Solanum lycopersicum: one gene and its partners. The main gene of each other region encodes a partner of the protein of the gene in region 2 in a complex. Links are inferred from orthologs where the notes say so. Each region holds a gene or a part of one and is shown on either strand. Other genes may lie near its edges. The genes, in order: mediator of RNA polymerase II transcription subunit 9, mediator of RNA polymerase II transcription subunit 25, mediator of RNA polymerase II transcription subunit 15a, MED18, mediator of RNA polymerase II transcription subunit 32, mediator of RNA polymerase II transcription subunit 30 and mediator of RNA polymerase II transcription subunit 14.

Region 1 (4,076 bases), on a different chromosome or scaffold from region 2:
TGCGAGTATGAGCTATAGTTCAGAGTTAATAATCTCCTCAACTGAGCCTTTGTACCTCGAAATAAGATCCCTGTAATTAAGCATGAAACATGACCATCAGATGAAGCAAATAATAATTATACAAATTTCAGTAGACAATATTAGAAACACACACACACACACATATATATATGTGTGTGTGTGTGTGTTTTATATATATATAATACAAACCTTCGCTGATTTAGCATTTGTTCGCACTCTGCCTTTTTGCGCTTTTGTCCCTCAACTGTCTGTCCAAAGAACACAGGACTGGTCAATTATCTTACCCATATTTAAGCATCAAAACATGCAACCAAATAAGAATTTGTGGAGCAACTTTGTTCAAGTCAACATCGTTTCAAACATATTGAACCCCACTTTTCAGTAAAATTCTTCACAACTATAAGTTGAACAAACAGGCCCAAATGGAAAAGCACAATTAAAAGCAATAACACTGCCAAAAGAAAAACAATCCAACTCTTCCAGAAAAGAATAATTTTGAAGTTCTGTTTTCATATTATTGCGCTTAACTCTTTGTTGGAGTCTCTCTCTTTTTTCTTTTTATTTTTTGAGTTGGGGGTGTGTTCAGAACAAGTTACAACAGAAATCAAAGGATATGTGTGAAAATGAAATACCATAGATCTTGAGCTAATAGACCCTGATATTGATGTCAACAGCTGCTGGCACTTCTCAAACTGATTTTTCAATTCAGTTACCTGGTGAGGAAAAATACACCCGGTTTAATGTAGAAGAAATGGAAAACTAACATATAATGCATCAATCAAGAAATGAACAAACCAATGCATCTGAGTGCTGATCTCGATTTCCATTTTCAATTGTATCAGCTAAATTCTCCACCAGCTGTAAGATGACAATAAAAGTTAGAACAAAAGGTCTCACTAGGAAAGAGAAATGTCTCGTTACTCTATTAAAATAGCAAGCTACAGATCATGGTTTTTGCCCAATACTTGTAAAAGATGGAAGTGAGAGGCAAGTGATTGGTGGTGCTGTTGTTGTTGTTGCTGCTGCTGCTGTTGTTGTTGTTGCTGCATTTGCTGCTGCTGTTGTTGTTGTTGCTGCATTTGCTGCTGCTGCATCTGTTGCTGCTGCTGCATTTGTTGCTGTTGCATCTGTTGTTGATACCGTTGTTGTTGTTGCTGCTGCTGCTGCTGTTGTTGCTGATAGAGCTGCGGTTGAATGAACTGTTGTTGTTGAAATTGCTGTTGCTGAAGAAATAAATTGTCTTGATTGGAGGGTGTCGAAGGATTACTGTGAGTTTGGATGTTGGGGATCATTGTCCAACTTCCTCCTCCAAAGTGGTCCATAACTAATGGCTGTTGAGCTGAAATCTGTTGGTACTTTGGTTCTAAAATGGATAAAATTAATGTCATCAGATGTAATCAAGTACTACACAAATAGCCAAAACTATCAAAGCATGAACTGGCCTAATGGACTGAGTAGCAAAGAGAAATAATTCCTAAGATTCTGAAATGTACAAACCACTTCAAAAATATATTTCCCATCATTCCTAAATGACATTTCATCCACATCTTATTACAAGAATAGTTCTTTTGTACCAAAGAGAACAAAGCCATCAAGTGAGACCCTCTAAAACTGAAGCCCATCCCTCGTAACAAACAGTAAACTCTTCTTTGAAATTTAACAAACAGTAAACTCTTATCTCCAAGTAAAAACTACCATGACATCTGTATAAATTTGGTGTTCACATTGTTAAATCAATAGGTACATCGGAAAAAATTACTGCTGCAACTATGTCTTTTTGATAAGGTTAAAAATTATCCTTGAATGGGCATCGGGTAGATGCCAGATTACAAAATATGCGACCGCTTAGCTCTAATTCGGAAGGGCATAAAAAAAATCTCAGCACTCATACAAGTATCCTAAACTAAAGCTAAGGAGCTAGCAATCCCAAGCAAACCAAAAGGGTAGATAGTTATTAGTATGCACTAAAAAAGTTTACAAAACCTAAAACTGTAAAATTAGATAGTTATTAAAGTGAGAAATGAATCAATCCCAACTGCACCTCTTACTCTTTATCTCTAATTTAGCTCAGTAATCAAGAAGTATGCCTCAATCCCGAATTAGTTTGGGTTTACTATATGAATTCTCTCCATTAGAACCCCATCTATTCCAATATTCAATAATTTAGGTTTTCATAACCCTAGAGGTTCCCTATTACTAACATACAAATATCTCTCTATCTATGAAATTAACAGTTTTAGGTCAAAATCACAACCTCAAAATTTCCAACAAAAAAGAACTCTAAATCTTCTGAACAGAATCTTCGTTTGCTATAACACTGACAACCAAACCCTTGATTTAAGCCGCCACAAGAGAATGAATTCACAACTATACGAAGCTAAACTTTACTGAAACCACAACTAGTACAGTTAATAACAAAGCAGAAGTACGATGAGAATTACAAAACGAGAAAGATTACCGGAGATGAAAAGGCCCGATCCGGTTAAACCCCAACGGAAAATCCTCTGTTTTTTCAAATAGCAAAATTGAAATTACTCCCGCTGTCCCAATTTGTGGGGAGGTTTCGATTTCAAGAGCAAACAAGCTAATTTAGAAATTTTAACATTTTCTATAGTATAAAATTTAGTATGTATTAAAAAAAAATAGATAATTTTTAATAATTAAAATACTAATTCAAAATACATAAAACTCACTTTTCATTAACCGATTTGATTTATATATGAACTAATATTTTAACAAACTGAAATAGATTGAACTAATAAAAAAGTAGATCACTAGTGCATTCAAATTTGAATGAATTGTATTTAAATTAAGAGGAAACAACACAAAACACACATTTACATTTGTGTTATTTATCGGTTGAAACTATACTTTCTAATTATATTTTCTCTTAGAACTTTACAAAATAGATACATATGAGTCAAAATTAGATATAATTTATTCTATACACTTGATATCTAAGCATGTTTCACATGTATTCAAAAGTCATTATAAAGAGATTGATAAATAAGTACAGTCAAATAGAAAAACTTGCATATGATGTTCATTGATTGGAAAGTTTTTTAGACAGAGTCTTGAAGGAGGTTTTTTGGAGATGTTTGGAAATTGGAGGTATGTAGAAGTCTGATATCAAAACGGACACTTTTTAAACCCTAAACACTAAAAGGGACCCTCTATAAAACACACACCAAATTTTTTTGGAGGTCCCTTTGGGTGTTTAGGGTTCATAAAATGTATGTATTAATGCCAGACTCTATGACGTATATTTAGAAGATCAAGGACATGTATGAAGGAGTCAAGACCTAGAAGAAAAAAAAGCACTTTTCCACTATGAAGAGGTTGCACCAGACATCAACTTTTAGATCAAAATCATTTATCTTGATGATGAATGAATTAACGCGATATATCCAAGAAAGTGTATGATGAGTATGTTACTCGCCAAATAGTGGCGGAGCCAGAAATTTCGCCGAGGTTGTTCAAACTTTAAAAGAGTCGATAATTTTTTTAGCGAAGTGGGTACACAAAATTTATTTTTGCAAATGTGTGAGAAATTAAATTACACATCACTTAGTAACTAAATCTTGCGGAAATTTAAAATGATAAAACTATCGATGGAATAAATCAAAACTAATGGACAAAAGTCACAAAATAATTTTTGCTTGAAATATACTCCCTCTAGTTCATATGAAATAAATTGTCGAGTGTTTTTTGTAATTTAAATAACTGAATAGTTCAAATATCGAATAATGTATGATGAGCTTGAGTCGAGTCACAAAAAGGGCTATGATGAGCCTTTTGAGAGTGACTTTCACGATTATGATGAGTTTTTTTCTCCTATTTTCAAATTCTTAACTATTTTACTTTTTCTAAATAGAAAGATACTTTAGAAATACTCAAAAGTATAATAATAAATAATAATCTTTAATTTTTTCTTTAAAATAAAATCTTGAGAATGTGTATACCTAATAAGTCACTTAATACAGATCTCTTACACATAATTGAAAAGAGAGTGTGTTTTATGTTTTAAAAAACATGTTGCAACTGAGGACCTCTTG
Region 2 (3,500 bases):
CGATCGGGATGACGAAAAATTATAGCAAAATAATCAGAGTTCTTGAAAAGAACAGCAGTTCAAAAAATTGAATAAATACCAACCCAGTTTCTCATTGTAGTATATAACTTGCATATTATCACACTATTCAAGGGTATAGACATATCCTCAGTATAAACTATAAGTTCAAAATTGTGGTCTTACAACCTCAAATATGATTTTGCTGGTTCTGCGCAAAGTCTAAAACAATTGTTTCTTTCAAAAGTTAAAGTAATTGGTTATGCATCAGAATAAGTTCTATCCTCAGCCCCAAACATCAGAGCAACCATTAGCAATTCACTAATATTATGTTATGGTTCAAGCAAATCAAACTGTAAGGTGCCTTAGGAAAACTCAAAACAGTGCACTCAAAATAGTTCTCACAGAAAAAGACTTCGAAGCATTAAAGGCCTGAGCTATCTTTTACCTCACCAAGATAACTATACCAGAGTTAACAAAGCATTAGAGGAAAAAAAAAAGCGAAAGAGCCAGCTGAATTCAAAATTATTACCCCTCTCAACTATATGCATATCACTGAATTCAACAAAAGCAAAAACTACATTGCTTATCTGGTAGAACAATTGCTATATGCAAAACCACATGGTTAGTTTTAACTAACAATTTTGGTCTAGCCCTTAGCATCACAAGATGGCAGTATAGGACTTCACTTCGACTGCCACACTGTTTTAAAAGAGTTTTAACAGACTACAATTTGCATGGAAACACTGTTGTTTCAGTTCCTAAAAAATGTAATTTGGAAGCACCAGCATAAAATATACAAATTTAAATCATCCTCATACTTACCCACCAGTCCACCCACAAAATCAAACTCCATCTTACCTCTTAATATTGTTCCTTCATTATCTCTGTAGTATTTACATCTGGCACATTAGGTTCATTTTCTGAGACTGACATCTGAAATGAATCAGAAAGAAGGAACCCAGCAACTAAACACGAGGTAGCCGCTAGGTGTGAAAAGACAACTAAGATTGGAGATAGCTGATTTTCCAGAAAATCCATTTATAGTAGAGCATATATTCATTCCAAATCCACTTCAAAGATTTCTTTGCCAATTTACAGAATTATCAGGAAATTACTCAAATACCCCTCTTAATTATAACTGCATCTTAATAATCAAATAGTATAGGCGACTGGATATCAAAGTTCAAACACCCCAAAAATAACAATTGTGAATCCAACACAAAATGGAAGGATGAAACTGACTGAGAGACATTATAGCTGGTGCCCAGAGAAATGGTGCAAATATCGCAGTCATGGCAACCCACTAGGTCCTATCGGGCGCGTCTTAAATTCCCCCTTAAATCATAATCACCATATATATGCAATAAACACCTAACAGTTACTACAAAATAATTTTTGGCATTGTGACTCATAATTATTATATTGAAATGACCACATTGTTACACCACATAACAGAAATGAGATACAGAAAGTTCGTCAAGAAAATCACATGTTATAGTGGCCTCTTAATGGTGAAAAACAAAAAAAAAAATCCCATTTCCGTAAGTATCAGATATAGAAATCTCAACAGATATTGTATGGCCAAATCATTTCAGAATTACAGACTGATTGATTTAAAGCAAAATAAGAAGTTCCAGCAGAGAACATCAAGAAAATATAACCTGTGACATTCTAAAAGAACATATATGTAAAATTCATATTTTATCTGTTGTTCGGGCGATGAAAATTTAAAGGCATGAGTTAGTTTCTATAGGAAATTAGGAACAAAGTCCGCAGTCCAGTTTCAGCCTTTCTACTGATTAATCGGTCTTACCTCCCAAACTTTGACATATTTTGATTGAGCTGATGGCAATGCACCAGATGTTTGCTGTTGAGATAGAGGCATGTTCGCTGATGTGCTGTTCACACCAACTGGTTGCATGCCTGGTTGTCCTTGTTGAGACATCCCTGGAGTAGGCATCATTGTGCCAGTTCCGGAAGGCAAACCAGTTGCACCCAGCCCAGTCAGCATATTCTGGTTCATCCCTGTCCCACTTGGCATCATTTGTGTGCCTGGTATATTACCTTGGCTCATTGCAGGAACCGTTTGACCAGACATACTGGGAGCAGTTGAAGTGAATGAAGAAGGAGCTGAGTTTTGTGTATTCTGTGCACTTCCTGCTAGTGGAACAGCCCCAGTCATTGTTGTCACACCTGATTGCCCAGATGATAATACAGCTTGAGAAGCAGGGACGGAAGATGCCATTCCACTAGATATCATACTTGAAAGCATAGGGGTGCCACCCATAGATTGCAGTCCTATAGAAGTCCCCCCGCCTAGAACTTGGTGTGCCTGAGCAACACCGTTCAAGATTTTGACATTTGCTGCTGCAGCAGCAACCGGACGTAAGGACTGAGTCATACCACTGACTATGGGTTTCATCTCCTGAACATTCTCAGTATGTGATACCATCTCCTGAGAAACAGAAAGAGGAGAAGAAGCTTGCAAACTTGGAACCGGTTGAAGAGCAGGACGAACAGACGGAATATGTGAAAATCCAGGTCCAGTCATGGGGGTCACAGTGTTGGGCTCCTGAAAACAAATATTATAATATCATAGCATCTATGAAATATCTGTGTAGCGAGCAGGTGTACAAGTTGTTGAATCTTACAATTTTTACAGTTGCCGGAGGAATATTTCCAGCGGAAATTGGTGGTCGACTGATAACAGATACATTTGCTGAGAGGTAAATAAAAAGAGAATTAGTATCCCTCCAACAGTACAATTGCAGAGTAATTTATATATCCCAGCATACTATATATTAGACTACAGTAATACACTTATAAACATTTATCCAGTAACTTTTTTATCAACTAAAACTGTAATTTTAGAGAGTTCTCAACATTATGTAACATAATTAATCCTCAGATAAGATAAAAAGATGTATACATGTAAAAGATGCCAAAAGTATCATCACCATGTGGCCACATTCACCTCAACCAAATTAGGGAAGACTAGGGGAGGGATAAATTGAAATTTTTAGCAATAGACAGTAGACACTACAGCTGAATTAAGAGTTGAACAGTTCAGCAATTAGTTGTCTATCCAACTGATCGTGCTTGAACTCCAAAAACTGAAACAAATTACACATGAAAAAGATTACACAGAACGAATTGCACAGTGGAATGAAATCATTCCCCAACATATATCAGGATGAATAAAGTTCAAATATTGGTTTTACTTATTTTTCTATGGGTTAAATGTTTTGTCTATTGAACAGCTTGACCCTGCCGACTTCAAAATAAAGAGGGGGCTATTATTCTTAGTTTTCCTTTATTGCACATTTGGACTTTGTTAGTGTTTAGGTATACTTTCACAGTATTGTTAAGTGTTCCACACTGGACAAGTACAAATATCCTCATTGTAAAGTCTGTTGATAAAGGAATAGAAGTGTGAGAAACTAAAGTCACACAAGTTTTTCCCCATGTTCTTTGGTATTAGCGTGAAAAATTTACTGTGC
Region 3 (3,500 bases), on a different chromosome or scaffold from region 2:
ACAGCAAGGGTCTAGTTCCAAGATGTGATAATAGACCAGCCCAACCAGGAGGAATTAGAATATACTTTTCTATAATTGTCTGGGAGATATAATATTGTTTAGTGTGAAAACATCATTTTTTTTCACTTTACACCTTTATTACCAGTAAAGCAAAATGAGGGTAAACAATGAATAACAACAATGTAGTTTACTTCACAAGTAAAAAGGCATGTTGATGTTATATCTTTATTCTTGGCGAACACAAAATATTCCAACTTACACTTCTAGCTAGTAAACCAAGTCAGGTATTTAAGTACAAAAAGCTAGAGGGACAGACCCATTATCATCCACATTCCAAAACAGGCAACAATGAATTTCTCGTGATATCCCAAAAAACAGAAACAAAAACCGTTACCAACTAATACAGATGATGTGCCTTTTCACAAAGAACAATATTTTCTTAAGCCATATATTCAAGTATATACTTCCTGCATGAATAGATTTACCCTTTAATGTAGCAATTAATTCTTTAGTTTCCATGGAATAAAACAAATTAGGTACATATTATGAGGACCCTGACCCAAACTTACGGACATATCACACCTCGTGAATTCAGACAATACATAACAACATTCAACTATTTCTAATCACTTCATCAAAAAATAAATGTAACCAACCAATTTATTTACTTCACTTCCCAATTATGCCAGTAGAAAGTGTAAGGAAATTCAAGTGCTATAATTTTGGATTGAGAGGGGCTCAAATGAAGCAACATAAGACAACAATAATTCATATAACAGACGCTAATTTGATTAACATTGAGGCGTAATAGTTGTTGTACCTCACTTCTCAATTGAGAATAAATCAATTTCTTACAAGTAAGCTGCAATAACCTTAATTCTATAGTGCTTCTACGAATTGGAACACCGTAAAAGTGCTTTGCGGGAATGGATATGACCATGAATTTGCTGAATACTTATTTTGATAAACCTCCTCTATTAATCCATCAATCACAAAAAATATTTCACAGCATTCAGCTACTTCTTATATTGTTGCAACCAGTCAATTTATCAAAATACAGTTCACTTGTCAATTTCCAAAACAACAATTTCCAGTAATTTCCTCAGTTCTCAACATGCCGTGCAGATAGAAATACCATCGAAAAAAATACCTTTTGGTAAACCTCCTCCTGCCAATCAGCTGCATTTGCATTTCCCGTCTGAGCTGTAGAATCTAAAGATGCTACAAATAAACCAAAAGTTAAGGATAGCACAAAAATATTGAAGGACTTGACTCCTTACAGCATTAAAATTTCAGGCAAATTTTGGGATATGAAAGGTGTTGGATATTTCAGATAAGTATGAATATTATCTAAAATATCCACCACCTTTCATATCCCAAAACTTGCCTGAAAGTACTAGTCATTTTTACATAAAGAAAATGTAAACCAGTGGTTAACATAGTGTAGAAGTCCTATACCTTCACACATATAAGGCATGAAAGGTGGAAATATCTAAGAATGACAAACTGCTACAGAGTGATTTATGAGACCTAATTGAAAGCTTTGATTAAGAAAAATACATACTTGAAGAGGCTTCAGGTGCGACTCTTTGTGATTGATATAGCTGCTTCTGCTGTTCCATTACATTTTGCTGTTGAAGCAAGGGGGCTGATGGTTGAAGCCTCTGTTGCATCTCCCTTTGCAATTGATTCGCCTGTTGCTGCAAACCCAAAGGTGGCTGTAACTGTCCTGGTTGTGATTGACTTTGAGACATCATTTGCTGTTGTGCTGGCTGCGACTGCGATTGTTGACCTTGATTTGGTAACAAGGTTGTAGTACTCTGCAGCATTTGTTGTTGTACAGGAACTTTTGGTTGTTGCATCAAATGAATAGGGTGCTGATTAGATGTCAAGCCAGAGTTACCAGGTTGTTGACTTCCAGACAGCTGTTGTTGCTGGACCCCAGCAATACTACTTTGAGAGCCCAACTGCTGCTGATGCATATTTTGAAAGTTGTTTTGCTGATGCATATAGTTGTTCTGTTGGCCCACTAGCCTCTGCTGCACATCAGGCATTGCATTCTGTTGACTCATCAATTGGTTCTGCTGGAGATTTGCAACATTTGTCTGTTGTGCAATCAGCTGCTGCTGCTGTTGTTGTTGTTGTTGGTGCTGTTGAGCTGGTAAAATTGGTGGCTGTAGCATTGACGATTGCTGTTGATGAAGCATGGGAGCCTGCTGCTGTCTCATAACTGATTGTTGCCGTTGGTGAAGTACAGATTGAGTTGACTGTTGAACAGTCGACTGTTGACTCTGCTGAAGGTTGGACAAAGAAGTTGATTGTATTGAAGAAGGTTGCATCATAGCTTGCTGAGAAGGTTGTGTCTGAGTAGGTTGTAGAAGGTTTTGTTGCTGCTGCGGTAGTTGTTGCTGCTGCTCCTGCGGCTGCTGCTGTTGCTGCATGTGAGATTGCATCAAGGACTGTGATGTGCTTCCCGGCTGAAATTTCTGCTTCATCATTTGATGTTGATGCAGTTGCTGCTGGTACATATATTGCTGTGTTGTCTGGGACTGCTGCTGTTGCTGTTGAGAAACAACCTGTTGTTGTCTTCCCTGCATCTGCCTCTGAGAATTAGCAACCATATTAGGAGGCATGCCTTGCCCAATGGCATTTCCTACCAAGTTTTGACCAACATTTGGCATGTTTTGCATGGTTTGCAAATTTGAATTCTGGCCCACGACATTTGGCATGGTACCCTGCGTCAAATTACTCACAGAAGGAAGTGAAGGAGCCAAGCTAGCAGAATTTTGCAGCCCAGTCGATGCCATATTGTTCTGAAGGTTTTGCTGCAACAGTGGTTGTCGTGTTTGAGTTTGATTGGCCACCATAGGTACAGGAAGTTGCTGTGCTTGGCTGTTGACTTGGGATTGCATACTGTGCGATCCTACAGAAATGAATAAAAAAGAAGCCAGTCAAGATGCTATCAAATAACCAGCAAACATAATAACATTAAAATAAAATACAAACAAGCAGCAAAAGTAAACACGTATTTTTTAGTTTAAGATACAAGAAACAGAAGTCATAGCTTTGTGAAAACTGATTCGAAAATACAAAAGAGAAGTTTGACTAAGTTACTTATTAGACAAATAAACAACAAGAATAGTCTGGATATAGAGAAAGAGCAGGGCTAGGACTCTGACCTAGAGCACAAACAATACTTATTAGGGCTAGTCACCAAAATTATAGATCACTCAAAGATTAGCACAATGGTTCAAGCATCTAAAATTTCCTTTACACTTATTAGCTACAGAGAACAAACTTTTCAACAGCAGAACGAAGTAATTAGGTTTACACAAAACGTCCTGTCATACAAGTTTTCCCTATTTGAAATAGAGCACATGAGATTTCATTGTTCACCTGGACCAAGGGCATTCTGACCACTACTAGCAGGATTTGGCTGAACAGAATTGGTCATAGGAGGTTGAGATTTTGTCTCCATGGTCAGCATCTTTAAAGATATC
Region 4 (4,218 bases), on a different chromosome or scaffold from region 2:
CACCTTAGTTATGAGAAATTTATGCATTATTTTATGCCAGGCATAAGATAGATAACAAACAGCTAATAATTCTAACCAGCTACCTAACACACCTAAGGTTCTTTGCGACAAATTTATGTATAAAAATATGCACTTTAGAAATCCGCATATAACTAATACAAATATAAGTTATGAGAAAAATTTGTGTATTTATTCTATGCCTGACATAAGATAGATAACTGACAGTTGCATAATTCTAACCGGCTCCCAAACGACACCTAAGGTTCTTTGCAATGATTTCAATGTATAAAAGTCCGCAATTTAGAAAGCTACATGACTAATACATATATAAGCTACGAAGAAATTTATATATTATTTTATGCCGGACATAAAAAATAACTGCATAATTCTAACTAGTTACCAAACGAAACCTAAGTTTCTTATCAACAAATTCATATCTCTATTTGCTACAATTATGATGTTTTTCTACATATAAAAATTTTTACTCTGAATTTTGTATGAATAATCTATATCCATTCCCCTTCAGTTTAAACTAAAAACAAACTCAAAACCCAGAATTAAAATTCAAATAAATTTCAAAGAATGAAAAAAGATGGAAATATAATTACAAGGGGATGAAGCAATTGGGACACTTGTATCTCGACTGTGCTTCATCACATACTTGACATTTTTTCGATCCCATTATTTCTTCTTCTTCTTCGTTATCGAGGTTTTAGGGTTTTTTCTGGAAGAGGTGGAATGTAAAATTGCAATATTGGTCCCTGAATTTTGAGTTTAGATTCAATCGGGTTCTTACAATTTTATCAAATTATACTTTGAGTCGCTTAATTAATTATGGGCCTAAACTCGAATTCGGGTCCAAAATTTTCAAACCATTTTCTCTTCTGCTAAGTACCACTTTTCTCTAATAATTCTACGAGATACTCGTCACTTTCTATAATAATCATTTTTCGTAAAAGGAATCAAATCATTTTATTCATTTATATAGAAAGAATTTTGCAATAATTAATTTTCGTAAAAAGTATCAAATTATTTTATCCATTCATATAGAAAGAATTTCGTGTTATCAATTTTCGTAAAAGGTATCAAAATCATTTTATCAAAGAATTTCGTAATAATCAATTTTTCGTATAAGGTATCAAATTATTTTATCCATTCCTATAGAAAGAATCCATTAATATTTTTTAATTAATTATATAAGATACTAATCAAATTTTCGTAACAGACATTTATCCACTCGTATGAAAAGAATCCGCTAATATTTTCAATTGATTCTACGAGATACTTGTCACTTTTCGCAATAGGTATTATTCCAACCCTATGTCTTGAGTTTCGACTTTTTTGATATTTTCGACCACTTCATTGAGCACTAAATCACCATATTATCTCTGTTACTGCTAATTGTTTTGGTTTCTCTCAGCCATAGCTTGCATTACTAAACCTTAATTTTACAATTGATCGTAGAAACATATTTTTCTTGCTAGAAAAAATCTCTCTTTGGCTCGTTTTTACTGTTGATTTTTTGTTATGTGATTAATTGGACCTTGTTTGATGTAGAAACCTAGATTTTTTTGTTACAATTGGACCTTGTTTGATGTAGAAAACTGGATTTTTTGTTACAATTGGACCTTGTTTGATATAGAAACCTAGATTTCTAGCTAGAATTTTTTTTTCTTTGGCTCGTTGTTATCGTTGATTTTTTGTTATGTGATTAATTTAGGTCTGCCTGTTTAAGCTTTCGAACTATTTTTTTTAATTGAATTTTTGCAGCTCAGATTGGGGGAAAAAGTGAGATTGCTTCAACTGTTCAAGGTAATTCTTTCAATTTTTTGCTCTGATGTTTTATGTTTAGTTCTACAATGCTAAATGATTGTGTTTTATATGTCATACAATAGTGTGTATAGATGATAAAATTTGGAGTTTGATGTAGAAACTTTGAAAAAACAGATGTATAACAATAAAGATATGTTAAACAAAGATCAAATTGTACAGGCACTAGAAAAATCATATTTTGATGCCAAAATAGTCGAAAAAAACCAAAGGCAACATATACCATATAGTCCAAGGTATTGTCTTTTCTTCACCCATTCTTCTCCTTTTCCATTTTCTCTTTCTTTCCTCCATTTTTGTAGTCATTCGTTGTTTTTGCTGAGCACATGCTCCATCATATAACAATGACAACAACATACCTTGTGAAATCCCACAAGTGGACTATGGGGAGGATAGAATGTATATATGTTGTTGTACGTATGTAGAAAATATTTGCCAAACAGGAGTTAAGCTATGTGTCCAAGTGACTAATTTTCCACATGAAAAGAATCACCCATGGTGGAGTGACTTCATTGATAAAACTTGATACCATTCCAGCACTACTACCTATTTCTTTGAAGAAACTTAGTAAAACTTAAGGTTGTTTGGTCATAGCCTAATGAAAGGAGCAAGTTTGACAGTTTTTGGTGCATATTGGATCATTAGAAGTTTCATGCTTAAAATCTTGGTGAGAATTTGGGTGTACCAAAAGACAAGTAATGACCAAATGCTTAAATTTCTAATTATGGATGGAAAAGGCAATAATTGAAGACCACCCCAAAATAGGGGCAATCCGGGCAAAAACTTTAAGCCTCAATCCAAAACTAAATTCATATTAAGATCCATTAATCTTCAAGCAATGCACTTCTCATACAAAGAGTGTCAACTTTGTTATGATTTTGGTTAGGTGTTAGCTTTTTCGTTGTTACTCTTCTGTTAAACTTAATATCTTTTTGGTTCATAGGTATGTTCTAAAGAGTTCTTTGCATGTAGGTTTGAATAAATTGAAGTGCGAATGGAGTGTGTGGTTCAGGGAATTATTGAGACTCAAGTAAGTTCCTGGAGTAATGATAAAACCTCCCCCTATTTCTCGTTTTTTTCTTATTCAATCTTTTAGAAGGTATGCTACTTGTAAAAGGTATACTACGGCATTTACTGAAACAGTTTTTGGCAATTGATTATTGAAAAGATCTTGACAGTGCTAATCATACTTGCAGCATGTCGAGGCCCTGGAAATTCTGCTTCAAGGGCTTTGTGGTGTACATAAACAAAGCTTAAGGATTCATGAACTGTGCCTTAAAAGTGTCCCTAACCTAGGTAAGTGTATTTTCTCTTTGAACTATTATGGAACTAGGAACTAACCCAATGGTCATGTATGTACTGATGTGGCTGAGGCAAATGCTCACAACCATCTATGCATTCGTAGGGAGGTTTTCTCACCTTTGAGTTTGTACATAGCTGATAATTTTTTTATGGTCCATCTTATTCTAGTTGTACTGTGGTGCTGCATGTCAATTATTGAATGGAATTAGGTTCAAGTATGATTCACTTTCAGTACATCTAATTTATAGGTCGAGACCACATGGTTTTTGCTCATTCACTTGTTGACTGTTGAGTGCCTTGTTTTCAACAAAGTGTTGCCTATCATGGTTTTGTCGATGATACAGATGTGATTCTCTGCGATGATGTACATGTGATTCTTTGACATGTTGATGAGGGTAACGTCGGAGTATTAAAACAATGCTTGTTTCCTGTTAAAGATAGTATGGCAGATGTTGATCCCACAAGGATTGAGTTTCTGCTATCCTAATTAGTGTTGCTCAATTACTATTCGAGTAATCAGATAAGCAGGCGGAATGTTTTTGACTAAAATGAAATATAAATAAGAGTTCTATGACATGAATGATGGTGAAAGAGTATCCATCAGTTCATTAAACGAGTTGAATATAGACTTTTTTGTTCTAATCAGAAGGAGTTGAATCTAGACTTCACTTATGATTAGTGTATGGTGTTCACTGTCCACCAATCAATATTGATCTCTAAGTTATAAGTGCCTCTCTCTATTACACTCAACATTGATTATTCCTCTCGCTTGTAGTAATATCTAAGGAAATAGAAAACCTTAAATTCAGAGCACCTTCAGCTAATCACCTTCCAAATCACTGGTGTATATCTCGATTACATCTAACTACTATAACCTTCTTGGCTAAGTGTATTTCTTTTTATTATAATAGTCAAGGTATTATTATACCTTAAATATGGAAGACGGTTGATTAATTAACCTTGGCTCCCACAAATATATGTTGACCCCTTGTGGTTGTCTACGCATTTGTCATATCATCATCACAATTCATAAAGTATGTTGAAGACTGATTTCTCCTCTTGGTTAGACAAGGAAAAAAAGCAAAC
Region 5 (3,679 bases), on a different chromosome or scaffold from region 2:
CAAAAGATGCTCTTAAGCATTGTATGTTGCCTCAAAACCCATTTCTTCTTGGGTCTGCATAAAATTAATGAAAAGAGCGTTGTTTTTTCTGATATATATAGCTTTATAGAGTAGCCTCTGCTTGTCATCCCTTCAGACGATTCTCAATAACCATCAGAACTTTTACATCATAGATCTCTCATTTACTAGTATTAGTTTGCGTTATTGGACAAAGACGTTTCCAAGTGCAGTGACAAGTGAGAACTTCTGTTTTCAAAGTTATTATACAGTACAACTAAATATTAGACTGAGATAAGGTTAAATGGAGCGACATGGATACTGAGCATTTGTGTAGCAATCAAGATGTAGTTGTAAGCTAAAGCGTATTTACTAATACTGCTACACTCAAAGCGTCATAATACTCTGTTGCAACAATTCCAGAGGTCTCCAAAGCCTACTGAATGAGTTCATCAGGGTTAACACAATTAACTAAAAAGCCACTTTACAAGATTGGAGATATATTTCCTAACAAAAATCGATTATAAACATAAATACTCGAGAATATAAGGTACACATAGCAGACACAAACATACAGCCTGTTTGTATATGTTGGTATGCTTAAGATCTAAATAAAGCTAACAGTGCAGTAGCTCATACTGCGATAAAAGTAAATCTCTGTGCCTAGAAAACACAAATGTAAATTTGCCAGATCTTCTCATAAGATGGCGAGGGAGGGAGGCGGTAAAGGTGGTTTACAAATATCATTCCAAAGTATTTCTTCTACATCGTTACAACATGACTTCATACATCAAACATCAACTTTAGCGGCTTACTAAGGCACATAAGATCTTCTGTTTCTCTCTGCTGATCACCAGACTCTGTAGTTACCTGAAAACAGTCACAACTAATAGTTCTTTGTTTTACAGCGATGAAAACAGAATAAAACGAAACCAATTTTTTTTTTCTAGTTTCCATTTGTCTGTCAGAAGTGTTGGGTCAAACTCAGCTTAATAAGTAAGGATAGTACATAATTGATCATAAAAAAAGAAGTTGGGTCAAACTTAGCTTAATAAGTAAGGATAGTATTCTTCATAAATAAAGTAAGGATAGTACATATAACATAATTGCTGCAGAAACTAGTGGTTACTCACAGTTATTCGTTCTGATGGAAGAGAACATATGATGCCACTAAAAAGCAGTTTTGTTAGCTTCTACTACTTTTCTATCAACCTGGAAATTTATACAAGACCAGCGGTTTTGTAATAGCAGCTCTTATATATGAATCAGTTTCAGTTCCAAGGGAATGTTCACTTATTTGCTTCATCATCAAGTCTAGGATACAAAGCCTATCACTAATAGTTCATTAAATAATACAAATTTGTTTCCAGATTATTTAACATAGTCAACGGAAACGACAAGGACAGGAAGTATCAGCGAGATTTCAGTATACCTATTGAGCTGCATCTTCAGAAAATCTGGCATCAAATGGAGCAGAAGGATTGGGATGTACTGCTGAAGCACTATTCGCTCCAGAACCATGTTGCAGTTCTATCACTAGCCATCTTACAGCTTTACTCATCTGCTCCAACCTAACAGCACTAATGGGTTGAAGGCCACTTGCAGCTGGTTGCCCAGGCTTCCCTGAAACAGTGCCTGTAGCCTCATCCACAAGACACTCGGAGCCAATTCTTTGCTTAACCGATTCCACAAACTCCTCCGCCTGATCACACGCAACCCTGAACAACTCCCACTTTTGCTTAAAGTTTTCTAATGCAGCATCAGTTGCTGCTGTTTTCTGACCATTAGAACTCTCCTTTGATTCAAGTACAACAGCTGATGCTGCAACAAAGTCTTGATATGCACTGCTCAGTGCATCTACGAGATTATCCATCACAACCCCTCGAAGCCCTAATTGATCACTAACCTCCGTAAATCTATAAAGGAGAGAATAAATTAGCAAGAACATCATTAAAAATTTAATCTTTGTATCAAGACCATCATTAAAAATTGAATCTTTATAGCAACAACATCATTAAAATTGAATCTTTAGCAAGACCATCACTAAAAATTGAATCTTTGTAGTAATTTCATCATTAAAAATTGAATCTTTGTACAACAATTAAAGAGCTATTATGCTATCAAATTCTGCATACAAAAACAAACCCAAGAAACAATTTTCTATGATTACCCAAAACACTCAAAAGCAAGAAATCAACTGAAACAAAATTGATGCAATACACAAATTTCTTGAAAATACTCAAATAAATTTAAGCAAATGAAAAGAAGAAAAACCACAAAGACTAGGGTTTTTCTACTTACTTGACTGAAGGAAGAAAATGGCTTCCACAATCTTCTCCTCTGTCTTTTTTTGGTTTTTTTCTCTTCTCCCCTCACTCTGTTTCGAAATAATTACATATTCCTCCCCAATAGTTTTCATTTGTAACACAAAGCTTCCCTTTAGTTTCAAAATTAATATTTTAGAGTGTAAGATTTTTAAAATATATTTGAATAAAATCATAATTGAGTAATAATTGTTTGAGTTTCTAATAATTATTTATATATATACGAGTGCTATTTTATTGGACTAAAGGAGTAGTATTATTTATGTATCTTAATTTTTATTTTATTTGTATTTTCATCATTAGTATTATATATTAAGTGTTCTATGTACATTAAAATGAGACATATATTTTTTTTCATTTGTTAGTGTTATATATTATTGATGAGTAATTATATTATATGTGATGAATAAAATTAATTTTACATTAATGTTTAAATTAAATATTTTGTTTAATTGCTCAAACTTGTCAAATTCATCGGTGACCTCCTAAACTTGCTATCGATTTTCACTTAGAACACCTAAATTAGGCGATGTTCATTTTAGACACCTCGTGTAGGGTTCTGTTGTGTCATTTTGGCACTTTTTGCTGACATGTCAAAGTGAGTGTGATACACTTAACAATAGCGCGTGAAAGACTTAATTTAGCCATTTTTAATTTTATTTTATCTTCTTCTTCTCCAAGCCACCACCCCCTTTTTTTTCGAATTTAAATTCCTTCAATGGAGGTCAAATTTTTTATTCAAATTCGTTGTTAAGTCATTTTCTTCTTCATCATTGTATTACTTATCTAAGTCTATCTTCACCTCACTCTATTTTTTGCCGGAAAAATGGATACCAACACCCATATTTCATGTTTATTCTCTCCCTCCTTTCTTTTTTTAAAGAAAAACAATACTAAAAAGAAGAATAAATATGAAAAATAGTAAAAGAAAATAATATTTTTTTGTAAAGCACAAAAGAGATTTGAGTGTAATGAAATAAGAAATTTTCGTAGAATAATATTTTAAATTTTTTTACTAAATAGATTTTATAATTATTTTTAACTGAAAATAATACATGTAATTATTTAATTGATTGTTTGCCACGTCATCAACGAGTGTATTACACATTTACACTCTCCTTTAGTTTTTTATTTATTGTCAGAAAAGTATCAAAATGACACAGTTGAACCTTACATGGGGTGTTTAAAATGAACATCGCCTGATTGAGGTATCTAAGTGAAAATTGGTGCCAAGTTTAGGGGCCATCGATGGATTTGACCTAACATTTTTCATACGCATACAATATCACATAAGACCAACTTTTATTTCACATTTATTATTAGAAAAATTACTGAAATATACTTTTTATATTCTTCTT
Region 6 (3,950 bases), on a different chromosome or scaffold from region 2:
TTTATGAACGACAGAGACATCAATGTCCCAAAATAATGACTGAAGGTATCTGCATATCATTTACGGTAGTTCGAGAATATATTTGTCATTTTTTCCTTTTTATAAAATAAATTTATTTGAATTTTAAAATCTGAAAAGTGTCTTATAAAATGAAATAGAAAGAATATTATATATATATAATATTTTAATTTCTATTATTAAAATGCACAATAAGACTAATTATCGATTCGAATGGTGTTGTCTTTTTTTAATTAGGTATTAATGGCACGTTGAATAAAAAAAAAGGAATCTTTGATTTGTTTCTTTCAAAATCTCAAATGGAAGTTTTTAAACATTTCTTCTTTCGCTTTTTAATTTTAATTGGAATCACACTTTTTTTAGTTTGCATCTATTTGCGATACATAGACTCTCTCTCATTCACTTTACGTCTTTTTCACTCGTCTTTTTTTCTATAAGTTTATATTTTAAAGTGTATATAGTAGTATATTACATGCATCTAGGTCTATATGACTTGACATCTAGTATGAAATTACTAATTAGAAGACGATGCGTAACTTTTCAAAATTATGAAAAAAAAACTACGTAGTAAATATGATAGGAATGTTTATGTAATCTGGTAATTTTTCTGCAACGTTAAACACAGATATTTGTGCACTTCTTTCCCCCATTGAATTTCGGGGAACTTATATACACGTACTATAATTAAAAAAATATTTACCATTTATAGCAATAATAAAAAAAAATTACTTAATCAGTTTTAATTTATTTATAATACAAGTTTTATACATATTATAAATAACAATTTAATATTACATATAATACAAATTTTAACGATGGATAATACGTTTTTCACACATTTTAATACATTTATAATAGAATGTGTCAAATTTAGTAAACAAACTTAATATATTTCAAAAAACAACTTATAATTCACGTACATTGCATACATAATTCACTTTTAATTCATATTGCAGATTTTACATAATATTGCTATAAATGACAATAAATAAAAAGTATCGCTAAAATCAGTAATTATTTATTAAAATGTATTAATTTATATAATTTTTCCTTGAATTTTGACCCAAGTAACTTGATTTTGGGCTTGATCCAGTAATACATAGCTCCTTACCCGGCCCAAAAAGTACACGCCACGCATAAAACGACGTCATTTTATGCTTAAATTAATTCTCCTTACAACTTCTCGCACCGCCGATCGCCACCACTACCGCCGCCGTCGATCTAGGGTTTTGACAAGCCGGTGACATTACCCGGTATGGAGGATAAAGGCACAATTACAAGCCCTAAAACCATACAAGAACTAGCAGTAGAAGGGCAAAAGCATTTAGAAGATACAATAGAAGCAGCACATCAAATTCTCTCCGCCATGAACGATGAACTCTGTAATCCATCACTTTGGTCCACTCTAAATACAGCTGCTGCTTCTTCTGCGGTGGCGGTGGCCGGTGGAGGAGTTGGTGCTAGTGGTGTTTTGAGTAATGGACAGCAGCACCATACAAACGGCGACATTTCGTCTGATACTTCTTCGTCTTCTTCTGCTTCAGCTCAGCATTTGGATATTGGTGGTGGTGCTCTTGATGAATCTCGTCTGCGTTATAAGTCCTCTATTGCTTCCTTGCGTTCTGTTCTTACTGCAATTTCTAATTCCCAAAAGGTAATTTTACGTATAAAAATGCAATTTTTTAAAACATTTTTGTAATTGTGTGATATCTGTAATTTAAGATAGTGATCTCAGGAAAAGTTAGTTTGATGTAATCATGAATCAACAATGGCTTGATCATAAACTAGTTCGGTTCAGCTATATGAATGAATCACTTCTAGTGAAGTCCATTAAACAGAAAATGTGTAAAAGACTGGGGCTTTGTTCAATGCCAAAGGTAGTTCAACGTGACCGCAAAGATTTGGATCCAACGTAGATAACCTCTAGTTTTAGAGGTTCCAAAGGTTAAAACTATTTGATACTGGAGTGAAGTGGTTCCATATGGATATGGAGGATTCGTATACTTCCACCACCAACCAGCTTGTGTTGAGCCATAGGTGGTGTTGGTGTTCTGTTAGATGGTAGTTTTGATTGGGAATGAAACTCAAATAGATATTCTAGAAATGTAGTTCCTTCGGAGTACTGTAGGAGAGAAAAACATTATCCAGTTTGAGCAGAAAAAAAAAGACATTATCTAGCGATAAAGGTAAATTCAGTGTGAAAAGTGTTTGGTGATTGATCTTAATCACAAAACAAGGGGTTAAACAGTTTTGGTGATTGATATGGGAAAGACATCATGTGGTTATATACTAGCACAATTTGCCCTTACCAATATGAGCAACATTTGCACATGGCAATTGTATATTTTGATGTTCTAGACATGGGGATAATATTTCTTCACTATGAATATAATATTCAGTCGTTTGATCATCCCTCGTCATCAGTTGATGAAGCTCAACTGTGCTGCTTACTCTTTTTCTGATTTGTCTTATATTCTTCTGGGTTTGTGGGTGGCTGTTGGGGGCTGGGGATGGGGGAAGATATTTAACTATGTTTTCGAGGTTGTTCTTGTTTCTGCTGTTTAAACGCACATGAGGTATAAGTGTTTATACCAAGATAAACTACTGCGTGTTATCCTTTTCAAGAAAGAATTAGCACTATAATCACATCTCAAGTCCTTGGTGTTGGTGTATGGATTGCCTTAACATTTGTGCATTGGAGAGAATCTGGTTAAGCAGTAAGAATTTTGTTTGTCAGTATGAACAAATAAATCACTGATGTTGAGTGCATTTTTGTTGCTCAACATATGTCCGACTACACATTAAATGAGTTCTTTTAGTAACTTCTTTCTTAAGAGTTGTGCAAGTATTTGCTCCGTTTTAACTGGAAGTTGTCAAACTCTCCTTTCTGTTGTCTCAATTCTCATGATTAACAAGTTATATTTTCTTGTACATTTTGGAAAGTTGTTAACTTATTGTATGATACTTCACACTCATTACTGGCTTTGTTAGCTAGGCAAAAGCATTGGAAGCTGCTTCTGCTAGTGGTTCACTATCTGCAGCAGATCAAGCGGAAATTGAGCAGCTGGAAGACCGGGCCTCTTCATTAAAGAAGGTATTGATAACATATCAAATTTTGACATATTAGAATTTCCTTGGATTTTTGTTGGTTTTTGGGATGCATGATGGGTGGGTTTGGTGAAGCAAATGTGTGTGCCAATATTTGAACCTTGACTGATGTCTTCCTTGATCCATTGAGTAATTTCTTATCCATTAAAACAATATTGAGGTATACTACATGTTACATTTTCATTCCGGACACATGACAAAATGTCTTACTGTACAAACTTTCTCAAGTCTCGATATTTGTCACAACCTCAAATCAGAACAATATGATTTTGTGATAACATATGAAAACTTGGTTTCAACATCCTCTGCTTGTTGTACATACTGTATTATTATTAATTTTATTCCTATTGCGTTAAAATTAGTCAAATCCTGTTTCATTTGCTTTATGTCTCCCCCTAGTGGCAATAAGAAGTCCTCAAGTGAAGGTAGAGTTTTATCGTACTTGAGTGCATGCCTAATAGTTTTCTATTATCTTACGGTAGTGAAAAATCAAGTTGCTATTGTGATCAAGATTTAAAGCATATTCTATTGTTCTTACAAATTGCAGGAGCTTGTAGACAAGAACAAGCATCTCAAACTTCTGATTGACCAGCTTCGAGATCTTCTTGCTGACCTATGTACATGGCAGAGTCCCTGTTCTACATGACTCTGCTGCTATAACTTCAACCATACAATTAAATCGGTGAGGTGTTAGAGATGTCAAAAGAGCAACGTATTCAATCTTAAGAAACTGTTTTATTTTTTTTTCACTTCTTTTGTACAGAAGTTACTGCTAGATTCAAAAAATTGGTCATCGCCGGACACCTGCTATATGCTGCTCGCGG
Region 7 (4,036 bases), on a different chromosome or scaffold from region 2:
GTGAAACATGTATCATGACTAGATAAAGTGGATGCAAGCTGCTGACTGTATTGTATCAACGGGACCTGCAAACCAGATAATTGTGTTGGTACTTTAAATACGGAGTTTGAACTGCAGTTTCTACGAGATCAATGATAAAGAATATAGGGCCAACCGTTGATTCTAAGGGTCCAGGAAGATTTGACAACCATATTTCTACTCACCTAGATACTGAATATAATACAAGTGTATCTTTCCTTCCAGAAAAAGACAGATGAAGAAATGAAGACATGAAAGGGAGAAGAAAGACATGAAGACAAACCTTGTACATAGCATTACCAACATATACCTCGAAAGAGTTTATTAAATCAAAGATTAAAGGTTCAAATGATGCTACAGAAAGTTGTTTGAAGCAAGATCTACAGGAAACTCATAGCTCTTTTGGTGTGACAGCAGTTCCATTGTTCCCACCCCACCCTATTTCTTTTACACATACTCTTTCTCCCAAGATTAGAAATGGGATAAGTCCTACTGTTCCTGGTTTGTCCTTCCTTTCCATGTTTTTGGCGTAATTGTTAGGTGACAAAGATCCAGTAGTTTTAGAGCGTGAAGAGTGATTGTGATTCTTTGAATTAGGTGGAGTGTGTGCTGTGTAAAATTATGTGCATATGTCCAGAAATATTGAGGTCTTTTAGTGGTGTTCATTGGCATCAATGGAGAAGAGGAGTTCACAGTGGTGGTTTTTTTTTGTCAAAACGTGACCAAAAATGGTCATCAATTTATTATAATTAAAAACATAGTGCAAAACAAGTTGGTCCAGAACAAAACAAAATAAAATAAAATAAAATAAAATAAACCCAAATTGTTAATTGCCCAAAGAGCAAAATTGTTCAGCTTTTTGTATATTGGAAACCTCTTCATCTTCTCCCTTCTTCAACGAACTGATCGCCAGATTGCTCATCTTCTCTACCATCTCATCAGAAAATGACAGTCTTCACGGTGGTTTAAGTGGTGGACAGAGGCGTTGCTGAAAAAAAAAGGTGATCGAAAGTTGTGAATGATGAAAATTTCGAGGAGAATGGAGGTCTTTAATTTTTTTGGGAAGTGGTTACCGATAAAGATGGAAAGTTATGGTGGTATATCAGATGTAAGAAATGGAAAGAGGTGGTCAAGGGATAGAGACGGTGAGGGAGAAATGGAGTGAATAAGGAAAAAAATTGAAAACTTCAAAATAAAGTTAAAAATAAATGACATGTCATTAAAAATCTGAAGGGTCAAAGGGGTTTAGAAGATTGTGTTTCATTGAGTCTAAAAGTTCAGTCGACAAAGTCGTGAATAGAAGGGCTTTGTTGGAGGTCTCAAGTTCGAAACACCTTGCATGTGAAAGCAAGGGGGTTTGCCTTCTGAGTCGCCTGGTGCGGGTTACCTCTCCTATGTGGTTTGCGAGCTATTGCATAGGAGTGGGGTTTTACCCTATGTGCACCCAAAAGGCAGCGGCTCCAGGTTTCCCTTGTCATAAAAAAAAAGGCGAGAATAGAAGGGTCTAATCGACAATCCGATTCAAATACAAGGGTCTCTTGGATCATTCCGCCTTTCATCAAATAAGCTGTTGGTACAACTTGAACAGAGCATCGTACAATCTTAAAACCTTTGAAGTTGTCCTCAACTTTTGTTTTCTTTTGGCAATTGTCCTCGACATTCACTATAACTAGAACTTCCACCCTAACTATCTGATTTTAAGTTTTAAATTACTCCTCGTGGTCCATCTTTTCCCAATTCCTAAAACAACATCCACCCTACTCATTTCACGGCTACCTTTCTAATCTTAATCAAGATCCATTTTTCTCCATTCCAACTCACAAATTTCACAAAAACAAATACATGACCAATATACATTCTGTCACTACTCTCTCAATGCATCAATAAAGAAAGAGAAAATCCTCTCCTTTTCCTCTTTCCAATTCACAAATCCTGAAACAAAAGAAACCCTAGAAGTCGAAAACTACTCTTCGCACCCCTCAACAAAGAAGAAAGAAGGCACACTTCTTATAACCCTTAAAGAACTCAAACATAGAATCCCCATCTGCCTAAGCCTGGAAAGAAAATTTTCCCCGTACCTATGCCGGTGGGAGGTAACGGGTACCTTTGGATTAATAAAGGGGGTCACAAATTGGGAAAAACACATCATTATATCTAAAAAATTAAAAAAAGATAGTGTTCAATCTTGAATGCATCAACATACATAATGAGAGAGGGAGTGAATAGATTAAAAAAAAAAGAAAACAACCTGCTGGCACCATTTGGATAGGACATTGAGACGAAGCATACGCTGCTGAGTCTTAACTACATATTTAAGAATCCCAATTTTCTTCTCAGAATCAGATAAGTTAGACGACTTGCACTTCTCCACCAATTCCTTCAACGTAACATACGACTCCTCAGCTGCTCTGCTTACCAGTGCCGAGAAATCCACCGTCTGCTGCCCTAATTCCGCCATCTCCGCAAAACCCTCCGATTAAATTACTCCGACGATCCCGAATTCCTACTAATACAATGCCATTTAATGAAAATTGACCGCCCAAACAATCAATTACTATTAGGGTTTGTAAAAATTGTGGAATTTGAAACAAAATATGAATCTCCGACCTGTAGAGAGAGTGAATGAAGCGAGTGTTGTTCTATTTTTTTTTTCCCTTTTTGATAGATCGGATGTCTGAAGGTAACGCGTAACGGCGGAAGGGAGAGGGTGTGCAAAATTGGAATATGGTACTACTAGTCGGAGAGAAGTCAAAACTAATATAAAACCTCTAAAGTTCTATTTGACCAAGTTTATAAAAATTCATCTCCTTAAATCATGTTGATTTAGAAAAAAATATAATATTTAGAAAGTTTCCATATAAAAATATTTATTAAGTGTGCGAAAAAATATTTTTATTGCGTTTTTTGATATACCTTTCAAAGTATGTGAAGCCTAAATATTGTTTGAGCTTATCTGTTGAGCGGTAAGAACTTATCTATTATTTTATTTTTTCTTTAAAACGGTGTTTAACAATCATTCATTTATTATTCATCTGTGACCTGAATTATTCTTCATGAAACTTAAATTTCTTGATTTACGCGTCTAATAAATCATTGCGAATTTACTTCTGGTATACTTGTTTAAAAAATTATCACGTAATAGTGAAATCTAATTATTATAGTCATAGTATTCGCCCACTTGTTTGTCCAGGTCCAGAGATGAACATGTCCTCGTAGTCCCTTATTACTCCGCCCCAGTTTCAGAATTCTCTTTCAAGAAATTACACATTTCTTGATTTTCTTAAAGTGATGATGGCTTCGTCTATTTGATAATTATATGCACCGTTACATTATTTATTCGTCAAAAAGTTTTAACTATTATTTTCAAATATTGTTTCACTACAAATTTTCAAGCTTTAAACTGGTTATTTTCACATTAATGAAGAAGATCAACATCTCTGAATATATGGAGTTTCATTCTCATGTTTGGAGGCATACCTTAACCTCAAAAACTATCACGTAATTAAAATTAAATAATGCATTGAGGTATAATGATGAAGGGAGATTCCGTCAATTTCATTATGAGATATATGACACTTATGCAATCAAACGCTTTAGCATAAATTCAAATTAGTTTCGTTTATAGGATCACTCTTTTCATTCTCTCATTTTTTATAGTGTGTTTTAATAGCTTGATGTCTGTATCTTAAATATCACATTTATTTTATACAACTAGATCATCATAGTCCATATATATTATTTGGACATTTTCAATAACCTAAAATTTAGGTTTGTGTATTGGACGGATCAGATGGATAGTTATGCTTAATTATTTGGCTTGTCGGATATTGATTTTTAAATAGACTGATCCACTAGCCAACTAATAAGGTAATGGTTCATTTAATGTCGGATTGGTAATTAAGGAATGGTGCATTGGCTCAATTGTTTCATGCTTTCTTTTTCACTTTCACCCACTAATATATCAATCTTCGATCAAACAAAATATTTTTTAGCTCTACTTAAGCAGATAAATGATAAT

What was found.
Region 1: mediator of RNA polymerase II transcription subunit 25 (region 2) and mediator of RNA polymerase II transcription subunit 9 share a complex: the UniProt entries of both Arabidopsis thaliana proteins name them as parts of the mediator complex. The link is inferred for Solanum lycopersicum from reciprocal best matches to the Arabidopsis thaliana genes PFT1 and MED9.
Region 3: mediator of RNA polymerase II transcription subunit 25 (region 2) and mediator of RNA polymerase II transcription subunit 15a share a complex: the UniProt entries of both Arabidopsis thaliana proteins name them as parts of the mediator complex. The link is inferred for Solanum lycopersicum from reciprocal best matches to the Arabidopsis thaliana genes PFT1 and NRB4.
Region 4: mediator of RNA polymerase II transcription subunit 25 (region 2) and MED18 share a complex: the UniProt entries of both Arabidopsis thaliana proteins name them as parts of the mediator complex. The link is inferred for Solanum lycopersicum from reciprocal best matches to the Arabidopsis thaliana genes PFT1 and AT2G22370.
Region 5: mediator of RNA polymerase II transcription subunit 25 (region 2) and mediator of RNA polymerase II transcription subunit 32 share a complex: the UniProt entries of both Arabidopsis thaliana proteins name them as parts of the mediator complex. The link is inferred for Solanum lycopersicum from reciprocal best matches to the Arabidopsis thaliana genes PFT1 and MED32.
Region 6: mediator of RNA polymerase II transcription subunit 25 (region 2) and mediator of RNA polymerase II transcription subunit 30 share a complex: the UniProt entries of both Arabidopsis thaliana proteins name them as parts of the mediator complex. The link is inferred for Solanum lycopersicum from reciprocal best matches to the Arabidopsis thaliana genes PFT1 and AT5G63480.
Region 7: mediator of RNA polymerase II transcription subunit 25 (region 2) and mediator of RNA polymerase II transcription subunit 14 share a complex: the UniProt entries of both Arabidopsis thaliana proteins name them as parts of the mediator complex. The link is inferred for Solanum lycopersicum from reciprocal best matches to the Arabidopsis thaliana genes PFT1 and SWP.

What each region holds. Positions count from the first base shown.
Region 1 is NC_090801.1:55,598,840-55,602,915, reverse strand, and holds the start of mediator of RNA polymerase II transcription subunit 9, read right to left. Parts: upstream 2,801-4,076; 5' UTR 2,480-2,800; intron 1,385-2,479; 5' UTR 1,344-1,384; coding exon 987-1,343; intron 880-986; coding exon 817-879; intron 735-816; coding exon 654-734; intron 270-653; coding exon 211-269; intron 71-210; coding exon 13-70; 3' UTR 1-12. UniProt on the Arabidopsis thaliana protein: Component of the Mediator complex, a coactivator involved in the regulated transcription of nearly all RNA polymerase II-dependent genes.
Region 2 is NC_090811.1:29,971,890-29,975,389, forward strand, and holds part of mediator of RNA polymerase II transcription subunit 25, read right to left. Parts: intron 2,720-3,500; coding exon 2,652-2,719; intron 2,573-2,651; coding exon 1,814-2,572; intron 1-1,813. UniProt on the Arabidopsis thaliana protein: Component of the Mediator complex, a coactivator involved in the regulated transcription of nearly all RNA polymerase II-dependent genes.
Region 3 is NC_090803.1:3,495,266-3,498,765, reverse strand, and holds part of mediator of RNA polymerase II transcription subunit 15a, read right to left. Parts: coding exon 3,397-3,500; intron 2,924-3,396; coding exon 1,565-2,923; intron 1,222-1,564; coding exon 1,151-1,221; intron 1-1,150. UniProt on the Arabidopsis thaliana protein: Component of the Mediator complex, a coactivator involved in the regulated transcription of nearly all RNA polymerase II-dependent genes.
Region 4 is NC_090805.1:1,888,056-1,892,273, reverse strand, and holds the start of MED18 (mediator of RNA polymerase II transcription subunit 18), read left to right. Parts: upstream 1-1,418; 5' UTR 1,419-1,812; intron 1,813-1,992; exon of another isoform or gene 1,993-2,066; intron 2,067-2,802; 5' UTR 2,803-2,824; coding exon 2,825-2,860; intron 2,861-3,026; coding exon 3,027-3,126; intron 3,127-4,218. Other genes in the region: ZNHIT (zinc finger HIT-type containing protein), read right to left, coding at 609-682. UniProt on the Arabidopsis thaliana protein: Component of the Mediator complex, a coactivator involved in the regulated transcription of nearly all RNA polymerase II-dependent genes.
Region 5 is NC_090807.1:64,223,280-64,226,958, forward strand, and holds mediator of RNA polymerase II transcription subunit 32, read right to left. Parts: upstream 2,445-3,679; 5' UTR 2,299-2,444; intron 2,297-2,298; exon of another isoform or gene 2,168-2,296; intron 1,914-2,167; 5' UTR 1,871-1,913; coding exon 1,430-1,870; intron 884-1,429; exon of another isoform or gene 868-883; 3' UTR 501-867; downstream 1-500. UniProt on the Arabidopsis thaliana protein: Component of the Mediator complex, a coactivator involved in the regulated transcription of nearly all RNA polymerase II-dependent genes.
Region 6 is NC_090807.1:2,029,146-2,033,095, reverse strand, and holds the start of mediator of RNA polymerase II transcription subunit 30, read left to right. Parts: upstream 1-1,150; 5' UTR 1,151-1,273; coding exon 1,274-1,672; intron 1,673-3,013; coding exon 3,014-3,112; intron 3,113-3,673; coding exon 3,674-3,772; 3' UTR 3,773-3,808; intron 3,809-3,889; 3' UTR 3,890-3,950. UniProt on the Arabidopsis thaliana protein: Component of the Mediator complex, a coactivator involved in the regulated transcription of nearly all RNA polymerase II-dependent genes.
Region 7 is NC_090800.1:84,078,038-84,082,073, forward strand, and holds the start of mediator of RNA polymerase II transcription subunit 14, read right to left. Parts: upstream 2,801-4,036; 5' UTR 2,477-2,800; coding exon 2,267-2,476; intron 66-2,266; coding exon 1-65. UniProt on the Arabidopsis thaliana protein: Component of the Mediator complex, a coactivator involved in the regulated transcription of nearly all RNA polymerase II-dependent genes.